Linked DNA regions of Struthio camelus. The protein of the gene in region 3 purifies or fractionates together with the protein of the main gene of each other region. This does not show direct contact. Links are inferred from orthologs where the notes say so. Each region holds a gene or a part of one and is shown on either strand. Other genes may lie near its edges.

Evidence for each region.
Region 1: the proteins of FUS (region 3) and KHDRBS1 purify together in Homo sapiens (affinity purification with mass spectrometry; 3 studies listed by BioGRID and IntAct, with this or other methods). This does not show direct contact. The link is inferred for Struthio camelus from reciprocal best matches to the Homo sapiens genes FUS and KHDRBS1.
Region 2: the proteins of FUS (region 3) and DDX17 purify together in Homo sapiens (affinity purification with mass spectrometry; 5 studies listed by BioGRID and IntAct, with this or other methods). This does not show direct contact. The link is inferred for Struthio camelus from reciprocal best matches to the Homo sapiens genes FUS and DDX17.

Annotation. Positions count from the first base shown.
Region 1 is NC_090964.1:8,675,614-8,679,356, forward strand, and holds the start of KHDRBS1 (KH domain-containing, RNA-binding, signal transduction-associated protein 1), read right to left. Parts: upstream 2,632-3,743; 5' UTR 2,497-2,631; coding exon 2,403-2,496; intron 1-2,402. UniProt on the Homo sapiens protein: Recruited and tyrosine phosphorylated by several receptor systems, for example the T-cell, leptin and insulin receptors. Once phosphorylated, functions as an adapter protein in signal transduction cascades by binding to SH2 and SH3 domain-containing proteins.
Region 2 is NC_090942.1:58,322,765-58,326,507, forward strand, and holds the start of DDX17 (probable ATP-dependent RNA helicase DDX17), read left to right. Parts: upstream 1-883; 5' UTR 884-1,210; coding exon 1,211-1,254; intron 1,255-3,743. UniProt on the Homo sapiens protein: As an RNA helicase, unwinds RNA and alters RNA structures through ATP binding and hydrolysis.
Region 3 is NC_090973.1:351,693-355,435, reverse strand, and holds the start of FUS (RNA-binding protein FUS), read left to right. Parts: upstream 1-1,558; 5' UTR 1,559-1,674; coding exon 1,675-1,687; intron 1,688-3,253; coding exon 3,254-3,278; intron 3,279-3,419; coding exon 3,420-3,574; intron 3,575-3,672; coding exon 3,673-3,743. UniProt on the Homo sapiens protein: DNA/RNA-binding protein that plays a role in various cellular processes such as transcription regulation, RNA splicing, RNA transport, DNA repair and damage response. Binds to ssRNA containing the consensus sequence 5'-AGGUAA-3'.

The DNA.
Region 1 (3,743 bases), on a different chromosome or scaffold from region 3:
TCGAATACCTCGAGTTACCTATTGCTCTGAACTTAGCCCTCACCATCCATCTCCATCCCTCCTCACCACTCTACGTGTCTGGGGAGGTAAAGGGCTGCATTTAACATGAGGACCAATTAGATGCTAGCAATGTAGAGATCCATTAGTGGAGCGGAGATGGGGCTTACACATTTATTTGTAGCACTGGAAGCTCAGAGGTGAAGAGGCCTGCTCTTTTCAAGGAGAGTTCCACCATGAAATGAAGAGAGCTTGCTAAGATTAACACATGAACTTGAAAAAAACATGCCTGGCTAACACTTACATCGGTAGATGTCTCCCATCCTCCCAATGCACATAAGCAGAGAAAATTGCGCCTTTCAAAGCATCAGCATCCCCCCTGCCCCCGCAACAGATGAAGGGCATAAATCAAAGTGAGGGAAAGGGATTTTCTTGTTCCTATGGAAAGGGAAGGCCATGTAGACCCCGAGTCATAAAAGTGAGGAGACATGGATCCTATTCCAAAGGGTAAGAAACCCCAGTTTTCGATTTCTATTCGGGGTGCTGTGCTACAGAACCCTAAAAGGTAGCCACTTTTCTCCCTTTTGATCACACAGCCCATTGTTCAAGAATTAGGATTATGTCACTGCGTTGCCCTTCATCTTGCTCCTAAACAATGCTGATTTCTTTCAGAAAAGCTAAGCAGCACTAGAACCACACAAGTATTTTGGACTACTTTAAAATACTGTTTTTAAACAAGATGTCTTAGTTTCAGTGCAGAACTCCTGCAGGAGTTCCTCCGGAATGCAGCATGAACTTGCATTCTTGAGAAAAGGCTGGCATAGGGATAGGGATACTGCTGCTGTTCCGTGACCAGTCGTTTTGAAAGCCTGTCTGAAAAATCATTTTGATGAAGTCACGCTGCACACACGCATTACAATCTTTGACCCAGACTTAAATTCCAAAGTGAGATTTTTCAGCTGGCTCTTCAACACGACATACTCAAAGGGTGCCACAGCAGTAGAGAAATTCTGAGCAATCCAGGTCAGTTGGGGAACAGCTGGTCATCTGTGCAAAAAGAGGCTCCTAAAACGGTGGCTTTATTTCAGATTCTCTCTCACGAGCCTCCTGCTTAGATCGCCCTAAGTTTGGGCTGCCTAGTGAATGCTCCCAAAGGACAGGAATTTTCAAATAACCAAAGCAAGGCAGAAGCATCTGGAGCTCTTCCAATGATCAATCCTAAGTCTCACAAAGCTGCGCTCTACTATCAGCAATTTTTAAATTGATGAAAAACTCATAAATCCTTGCGACAGCACTCAGTGAATGAAGCTTTGCTAAATGGGATGAGAACGCTGTTCTTTGAGCAGGAATTAGCAAATTCCTTAGGTTTCATTTCACCGCAAGGCATTATCACAGAGCTGTTGAGCATCAGCTGGCTAAAGGGTTTTATTAATAAAAAAAAATTGTGGCAAATCAGACTATAAAACTGATTTATGGAGATCAAGATGCCCATGAGCGATGCCAAGTCACTCATGACATTGACATATCTCAGTTACTTGTACAATGGGAGACAGCAAGTCTTAATAAAGTCTCTAGCACTGCAACGATTACAGCCACATTACATACTTTAAAGACTGTTTAAAAAAAAACATTTAGAAACAGAATGGTAATAACTAGAGAGCTAAGCACTCTGCTCATCTGTAAATCGAATCCGAGTTCATCCTTCTTGTGCTGAGCACATCCCAGCTCTCCACTCCATGCACATTAAGCAGTAAGTGGCAGAAATTGCTTAACTTGTTCCAATTTTTAAGCTAACTACAGTGTCGTGAGGCAGCTGAGTCTACTTGATACAGCCACCAAATGCGGGTGCAGCAGCTGCACTGGAGAGATAGGGAGAAATCAGAGCCGCCAGGCGATTGGACAGTGGTGATGGGGAAGGAGAAGGCTAGTCTGGGCACAGAACAAAGACTGCCATTTCCATTCCCTATTTAGGCTCATCAAAAGCATGAAACAAGCTCTAATACGGATTTCCAGAGTAGAAATGCAAAGAGATCACAAATCACGCCTCGCAGGGGCTCCAGCAGACGCTACCTGGAAAACCCCAGTCTTCACCGTTCTCTCGGGTCCCCTCTTCCCCCAGGGACGAAAAGGGGGAACACGACCGTACCTTGCTTATCAAAAAGAAAGTTCTAGGTTTGTGCTTAATCCAGGCTAAGCACGGAGGAGGGGGAGGGCGCTAAACAGAGATTAAATAATAGAAATATCTCGGTAACCCCCCCACCACCGAGGGAGGCGGGGCGCATCTCACCCGGGGCCGCTCCCCGGGGGCCCTCGGCGCTCGCAGCCCCGGGCAGGGCGGCCAAGAGGGGTCAGCGGCGGCCGGGCCCCCCCCCCCGCCCTGCCCGCCGCCCCCCCGGCCGCGGTACCTGCCGTGAGGAGCTGCATGGCGTGCGTGAAGGACGGGTCGAGGCTGTCCTTCTCGGCCATCAACTCCGGCAGGTATTTGTTCTCGGGCTCCATCTTGACGGCGGCCCCCGGCAGCAGCGGGGTGGGGGCGGCGGCGGGGGCCTGGGCGGCCGAGGCGGCCGCTGTGGCGCTGGGCGGTAGGAGCGGCGGCGGCTGCGCCCCGGTGGCGGCGGCGCCTCGGCCCCCCCCACCTCCTCCTCCTCCTCCTCCGCCGCCACCTCCTCCTCCTCCTCCTCCGCGGGGCGGCCGCCGCGGGGGGGGCGCCCCTTGCCGGGCGCCGCCGGGGCCCGGCCCCCGGCCCAGGCGGGCGGCGGGGTCGTCACGGCGCTGCATGCGGGCGGCGGGGGGCGGCGGCGGGCGCGGAGCGGGCCGAGCGCGGCGCTGCCACACCGTCCGCCGCGGCGCCACGGCCGGAAGTGAGGGGCCGGAAGGACCGCCCCCCCCTTCTGCCGCTCTCTCCCTCCCTCCCTCTCCCTCTCTCTCACTCCCCCCCCCCGCACTTCCCCGCCCCCCCCCACTCCGCCGCAGCTCCCGCGCGACCACCCCGCGCGCCTCTGCGCCTGCGCCGGCACGCAGCCGCGCGCCACCCCCCTCCCCACCCCGCCCCGCCCCGCCGCGCTCCTCACGGCCCGCCCCCTGGGCCGCGCGTGCGCCGCCCGCCGCCCGCGGGAACGAGGCGCGCTCTTGGGACGCATGCGCAGTGCCGGGCCCGCGAAAGCGGAAAGCGACACGTGGGGAGCGACGGCCGCCCCGCTGCCCTGACTGCGCATGCGCAGATGCAGCGGTGTGACATTAGTCACCAGCTGCCGAGAAACTTATCCCGCAGGGGATTCACAGCGCCTGCGTGTATGTGTGTATATGTGTGTGTGTGTGTGGGGGGGGGGAAGGTCTGTGTTGCGCATGCGCAGTGGCTGCCCGCTCGAGAACAAAGCGGCTGGCGCGCATGCGCCCTGTGGCTGTGCGTCTCTGTGGAGATAGGCGTGAGGTGCGAGGCGTGTCGTAGGCCCTGGGGTGGCGGAGGGGCTCCGGCCCGGGCTGCGGCCCGAGAGTGACGGCGGGGCAGTGCCTTGGGCAGCGCAAAGTGCCTGGGCCTCGGTGGGCGTGGTGAGCGGGGCACAGCCTGCTTTGGGAGTTGGGTCCTTGGCCTACCTGCCCCTGCAGCCGTGTGCTGTGGTATGAGGCCTCAGCAGTGCCTGTGTGGGAGCTGAGCCTTCCCCTGCCTGCCTGGGGCCTTGGCAGCACCTGTGTGGGAGCTGAGCCTTCCCCTGCCTGCCCCTGTGGCCCTGTGCTGCAGTATGGGG
Region 2 (3,743 bases), on a different chromosome or scaffold from region 3:
CATCAACTTAATATTAAGATTTACATTTTGCATGTTCCATTTGTAAACATTCAGTGTATCACCCCATGGAATAACATTATAGTTAGCAAAAGTGTGAATTCTTTAGCAGTTGACTTTCTGGAGACGTTGCTATGAGGCTCCTGCAGTTATGGAGGGGGGTCACCAGGGCCGAGTATTAAGCCATTTTTGGATGCATTACACCAGTTTCTTCCAGCCTCCTAGAAATAAGGAGAAAGCAAACATCATGGCTGCTGTCGCTCCTGTTACGGGTTCAGCGCTGTGCGCGGCGCCAAGATCCCCTCCAGGCATCTGCGAGGAAAAAAAGGCGCGAAGAAACCAAACATAACCGGCCCCGCGCAGTCCTGCTGGAGCCGCCGCAGAGGCCGCGGGCACCCGCGCTTCCGCTATTGTCTCCTCAGCCCCGAAGCCGCCTTCCAGGGGGACAGCGGCCGCGTAGGCAAAAGGCCGTATTCTCCAAGCTCGACTACGCTGCAAAGTTAACGTAATCCGCCAGCCCTTCCAGCAAAACCTACGGAAGAATTTTACGCAAAACGGGCGGGCTCGTCCTCCCCTACGCCAGCCCGAGTTGCGCAACTTGCGTACGCAGTGCTCTTACGTAACGTACGGCTCGGCCTGGGTTTTCCCTACCGTCCAGAAGGGGTTGCAAGATCGACTCCTTACGTAGCAGACTTTGAGGAATAGGGAGAGTGTTACTCTCCCCCCTCCCCTCCTGACGCAGGGGCCCCGCTTAAGCACAGAACACTACGTAACTTTCGTAACCTGCCCGCTGTGCGGAACAGTGTTTCGCGAAGAGCGCTTAGGGCGTAGTTGGGTTCCGAGAATAGGTGCAGATATTTTCGAGGGCCGGAATTTGCGCAGCGCCGGGCCGCCCGTAACGTAAGTGAAGCGGGTTGGAGAGGCGGCAGCCATTTTGTGCCGGGAGCCCGGAGGAAGAAGACGCTGGTGTCTCCACACTTCACGGGCCCTGGAGCCTACCGAGAACCCCGCCGTCCCGTCCGCCGACGTTCAGCGGGTCTCTGACCCACTGACCACTTCTTCTCCTTTTGTATCCCTCCCAAGAAGCGAGGTGGCGCAAAGCGACTCCGCCGAGGCACAGCCGCCCCTGGCTGGACCCTCTCCCCGTACCCCTAGTCCCTCACCCTCCCCACGGCCAGCATTCCGCTGCCTTTCACCCACCCCCCCGGGTGCCATGAGAGGCTTCGGAGACCGGGGCCGCGACCGAGACCGCGGCGGGTAAGGGGAGGGGGGGAAGGGAGGGAAGGCTGGGCCTGGGGGAGGGGGCGCGGCGCGGTGGGGGGGGAGGTGGAGGGGGCCCCCTCCTTTGGCTTAGGAGCCAGGCGAGGGGGAGGCGGGCGGGAGGGAATCGTGGGGCAGTAAAGGGGGGGGAGGTTGATCGTGGCTGCGGTATTTGGGACAGTTTTTTTTCACCCTATATCTTTATTCCAGGGTGGGGTGGGAGCTGGAGACGTTATTCCTACCGGGGTTCTGGCAGCAAGGGGTGGTGGTTATTGTTTTAATTTTGCTTTTCCTTCCTTCACGTGTAACCATGTGCCTCACTTTCAATTTTAAGGTCCTCCTGCCCCCCCCCCCGCGTTATTATTAATTTTTTTTTTTCCTGCCACCTCCATTTTCCTTCATCGTACTCCCCCCTGGAAATAACGAAGGTCTTGGTGGCCCTGGAAAGGGTGGTTGGATACTCTGCCCTTCGGGTTGTCATTGCTCCTTCTGGACTTTTCAGAAAGATGGCAGTTGGTGAAAGATCTTTCTCAGTAGCACTCCCAGGCTTATCCGGAGAGGAAATAGAATTGAAAACTGCTACCATGCAGGGGAGTTGCATTCTCAGGAGCCTGATCTCAGTAAACATGGCCCTGGACCACACTTAAAAAGCATGACCAAGCTTACTTAGGTAGCAATCAAAGAGAAGTTGTCTCTGTGGCACTGCGAAGGCCTGGTATTTGATACTCTTGATACTACTATCTCAAGAAAGTTTGGTTTAGAAAAGGTTTATGCAGGTTTGATTTTTCTCTGAGGACGGTAGTAATAAATATAATGTGCTCTGGGTATCATTAGGGTAAGCATAACATAGGCTGGTATAGCAGTATATAAATGGCTTGAGACTTTGACTTTTTTTTTTTTTTTAAAGAATTAAGAAATCATAAGACTCCTATCCCAAGCTTTTCTAAAGAGAAAATTAAGAACTAAATTCGGGAGAGATTGTCCCTTTCTCTCCTTTAAATTACAAATAGTTTAGGCCTTCATTCTCAAGGATAATGATAAGCATATGTGGGTTTTGTTATTAATCGAAATCCAGTCTGCCATGTTAAGAATGAGTGTTTTTTTTTTTTTGTTTCCCTCCCACTGAGAGATCAGGAATATTTTGTTTATATGTTGAATTGTAACTTAATATTTAGCTCTCTCTGTGGAGAGAGATAGCTGTGTTCTTGCTTTATCTTGACACCCACTGTTTCATGTTCAGAAATTAAATTTAAAGATCGTTTTAGTTTCTTTACAGAGAGGAGAGTTCTGGTGTTTTTCCACTATGAGCTTTCCAGCTTAGTTTAACACAAGGACATTGGAGTAAACACTTTGGTGAGCCTGAGATTGTTCAGATCCCAGCTTTTTTTTAGGAGTTTAGTGACTGAATTTGAGTATGCAGATTTATATACAGTTACTTAAAGGAACACAGTTGAAAACATTGTCATGATACTTAATGTGCCTTAAAATTTGTGTAATCTGGTTTTGTGTAAAGAATTTGATTGTTGACAAATACTTCTCTTTTAAAACGGAGGTGTTGCATAAGTAAGTGCTTAAATGCTTATTTGTAAAGATTTTGTATGTTTTACATGAAAAATCTTATTCTTGGGCTATTACACTGGAAGTTTTGATGCGTCAGGGTTCACTTTGGTATGCCCATCTATTTAAGGTCTGGAAGTATTTGTAATGACTAGCAACCATCTTTTCATAAATACTTCTCTTAAATTTTGGGTGACCCAGCCTGGTAGTCAAGCTCCGTTTAGAAGTTTAACCTTCTCAGTGCTGGTTCATTTATAAGACAACTGAATACAAGCTTTCTATTTTCCTTCTGTCATGAGCAAGTTGTAGATGACTCTTTAGCATGGAAAGTTATGCTGTTGTGCTTTGGAATTGAATAAATTGATTTAGTTTATTTAGTTGATAAACGACGGCACAATAGTACCAGAGCAGATTGTTTTGGATCAGTCTAAATTTCCACTTAATTGAAATGAGAACTCTTGATAAACCAGTGAAATATCCCTAGATTTAAATCAGTTTAACTGGAATTGGAATATGATTATTACTTGTAATGAGATTGTGAAGTGTCAGTTACTTCCAGGTGAGTAGGTAAATTCTGTGAGAGGCTGCATTTCAGGAATGATGTAGGGCTCACTTCTTTCAGGTCAACATACAGTCTTACTGTGTATAAGAATGAAGAACTGAAACTATATGACTTTTATGCAAAATACATTGTATTCTTCTGGATAGCCAAAGAGCAAATATTTATAATACCCAGCTGTTTTACTGTCTGATCTTGCAGTCAATTCTTTGTAAACTTATTCACAGTTTGACTCTCCAGCTGACTTCAGTGAGACTATTCATTTTGTTAGAGTTACTTAGATTCATAAATATCTGACTTTTTTTTAACCTCAGATTAGCACAATCAGTAGCAGATATCGTCAGTAAAGATGAATGTTTCTGTAACTGAT
Region 3 (3,743 bases):
TCACCATCCTCCTCCTCGGGGTCCCGTCCTTCCTCCCTGGGGGTCACCGTTGTCTTCCTCGGGGTCCTGTCCTTCCTCCTCGGGGTCACCATCCTCCTCCTCGGGGTCCTGTCCTTCCTCCCTGGGGGTCACCGTCGTCTTCCTCGGGGTCCCGTCCTTCCTCCTCGGGGTCCCGTCCTTCCTCCTCGGGGTTGGCCCTATAGGAGCCCCTGGAGACCCCCCCACTGGCCCTATACGACCCCCATAGGCCCCTTGCCCAGCGCCAGGCCCTATACAACCCCCCCAGCTCCCCCCACCGCTCCCTAGGTGGGGCCGGCCCCTATAGACCGCCGCGGGCTCCCTACCCCGTGCTGGACCCTATAGAGCTCCGTACGCGGCACCGGACCCTATAGGGGCCCCGTAGGCTCCCGGGGCTGTTTTTAGCCCTGACATTTGGGGGCGGCCAAATCCTGGGAGGGAAGGGGTGGGTGGGGGGTCTATATGGGGCAGATCTATAGGGGGAGTCTATAGGGGGCCCCGCCAACGCCATGGGGGGGCCGTCCCCCGCCCAGGGCGGCGTTTTACGCCCGAGAAAGGCGTTTTTGGGGGCTTTTTGTGCCCTTCCCGACGGCACCTGGCGCCCCTGGAGACCCCCCAGTGGGGGTCAAGCCTATAGGGGCCCGTGGAGAGGGCTGAACCCTATAGGGGCCCGTGGAGACCCCCCGGGGGGAGGCTGCATGTGGAGGCCGCTATAGGGCAGGAGCTCCTTATAGGGCACAGAGTCCCTATAGGGCAGGGGCTCCCTATAGGGCAGGCACCGCTATAGGGCAGGAGCTCCCTATGGGGCACAGACTCCCTATAGGGCAGGGCCCCTATAGGGCAGGGGCTCCCTATAGGGCACAGACTCCCTATAGGGCAGGAGCTCCCTATAGGGCACAGACTCCCTATAGGGCAGGGGTTCCATATAGGGCAGGGCCCCTATGGGGCAGGGGCTCCCTATATGGCACAGAGTCCCTATAGGGCAGGAGGTCCCTATAGGGCAGGGCCCCTATGGGGCAGGCACCGCTATAGGGCACAGGCTCCCTATGGGGCAGGCACTGCTATAGGGCACAGGCTCCCTATGGGGCAGGGGCTCCCTATGGGGCAGGGGTTCCCTATGGGGCAGGGGCTCCCTATAGGGTCTCCATGGGGGGGGCAGGGCTGGCCGTAGGGTCCCCGCGGAGCTGGGGGGCGGTTCCTGGGGACCCCCTATAGGCCCCTTATAGCCCCTCCCCATAGGCTCCCTATAGGGCCCCCTACAGGCCCCCTATAGGCTGCTTGGGAGGGGGCGGGACCAGGCGCCTCCCCCCTCTCTCCCCCCCCCCGCCGCCGCCGCGAATGGTCTCGCCCCGCCTGCCCGGCCCCGCCCCTCCCTTCCCTCGGCGCGTTCCATCCCGCAGGGAGGGAGGGGGGGGGAGGGAGAAGGCGGAGGCGGTGCCGACCGGGGGGGGGGGGGAACCCGCTTGGCTCCCTCCTCCCCCTCCCCCCGAGCCCGCGCGTGGCGGTGGTACGGTCCGGCGGAAGCTATAAAAAGGCGGCGGGCGGCGGGCGGGGGCGCAGTGCGGGGCAGGGCGGGCGCGGGTGCGCCACGTGTGAGGGGAGGGGGGAGGAAAGGGGGGGAGCAAAGAAAGGGCGCCGGAGCAGCGCGACACCGCCATGGCCTCCAACGGTGAGGGGGGCCGCCGGTACCGGGAAGGGGGGGGATGTCCCTAGCTCGGCGCTCGCCGCCCCGTTTCCTCTTAATTTTACCTACGGGAGCGATAAGCGAGATAGAGATTTTTTTTTTTTAATCGTTATGGGGGGGGGGTGTTGCCCCCCCCACACGCTTTGCGAACCGCGCGGCCCCCAGGGTGGGATTGGGTTTTTTTTTAACGTTTAATCTCCTCATGCGTTGGCGGTGCGCGGGTTTTTTTGCAGCTTGTTGTGGGTGTTTTTTTTTTTTGGGGGGGGGTGATATAACGGGTAGTTCCCCCCCCCCCCCACCGCTTACGGAGCGGCACGGTGGTGCCGCCGGGGGTGTTGCTGGCGGCCCGGATGCGGGAAGCGGTGGCGGTGGGGAGGGAAAAATGAGCATAAGTGACTGAAAGAAGAGGGAAAAGGAAGGTTCTGGAAGGGAGGCGAAGCCTTTGAAGGCGGGGATGGGGGGGGAGGGAGGAGGGAGCCCTTTGGTTCCCGCGGCTGCCGGCCGCCATTTTGTGTGGCGCGGGGGCGGGGCGCCGCTTTTCCAACTGCGCCACTCGCGGGCGCCATTTTGTGCGTGGTGGCGGCGGGAGGGTGGGGGCGACGGCGCATGCGCGGCGGCGGCGGGAGAGGGGGGGACGCGCGGCGGAGCGCGCATGCGCGGCGGGAGAGGGGGCGCGACGCGGCGGCGCATGCGCGGCGGCGGGAGAGGGGGACGCGCGGCGGAGCGCGCATGCGCGGCGGCGGCGGGAGAGGGGGGCGCGACGCGGCGGCGCATGCGCGGCGGCGGGAGGGGGAGCGCGCATGCGCGGCGGTGGCTGCCGCAGTCCGACATCCGGGGACTTAAAAGTGTGTGTGTGTGGGGGGGGGGGGATAATATGAAGGTGCCCGAGGCGGGTAAATACCCGCCGCGGCCTGGGTGAATATTGCTGGGCTTATTGATGGGGGGGGGAATCGCTTCCTCTTGCGGTGTGGGGGAGGGGTAACGGTCCGCTCCCGACAAAGCGGAGAGAAATCAGCGCTTGTTGTCTTTGTTGGTGGGGAAACATCGTTTCTGGCGCTTTCGGGGGGGGGAAGACGGTGGTTTGGGGGCGTTGGTGGAGCTGGGCGCGCTTCGTTTGGTGTTTGGCGCCGTAACCGTAGCGCCCGTAACAAGTGAGGGGCTGGGCTGGGGAATAAACGCCACCTTCCAGGTTAGAGCGTGTCGGGGTGGGCAAACGGACCCCCCCCCCACCCCCAGGCTGGGTGCTTGTGCCCCCGGCTGCGCCCTGGGGGAGAGGGGTCGGCCTTCGTCCCCGCCGCTGGGGTTCTTCTCGGGGCTCCCAGCGTGCGGCTGAAGCCCTGGCTCGGGGGGAGGGTGGGAGCCGCCCCCCCCCCCGGCTCTGCTCGCGGCGGGTCCCCTTCCGGCCTTCCCCAGGGCCGGAGAGGCCTCAGACGCTCCCTGCCCGCCTCCCGAAACGCGGCGATCCCGGCGGGCGGGCGGGCGACGCGTCGCGCGAGCCGTGAGGAAACGGCGGCGACGCGATGGCGTGTCCCTTCCTCTTTCCTCTCGCAGATTACAGCCAGACGGCAACCCAGAGGTACGTCGCAGCTCGGGGCGTTGCGCGCGGGGCGGGGGAACGCGGCCGGGCCGCGGCCGGGCCGCGGCTCCTCCGGCGGCGTTTGCCGCCCCCGCGCTGGGCCTGACGGCGCCTTTCTCCCCTCCCTCGCTGGGCCGCCAGCTACGGGGCGTACCCCACCCCGCCGGGGCAGGGCTACTCGCAGCAGAGCAGCCAGCCCTACGGGCAGCAGAGCTACAGCGGTTACAGCCAGTCCACCGACACCTCGGGCTACGGGCAGAACAGCTACAGCTCCTCCTACGGCCAGACCCAAAGCAGTGAGTGTGGCCGGCGCCTGCCGGCCTTGCGGGGACGGGGCCCCTCCGCCGTGCCCGCAGGAGCTTTCCTTCCTCCTCCTCCTCCTCCTCTCTCCCAGCTGGCTACAGCACCCAGTCGACGCCGCAGGCCTACGGCACGAGCAGCGGCTACGGCGGCAGCCAGTCGTCG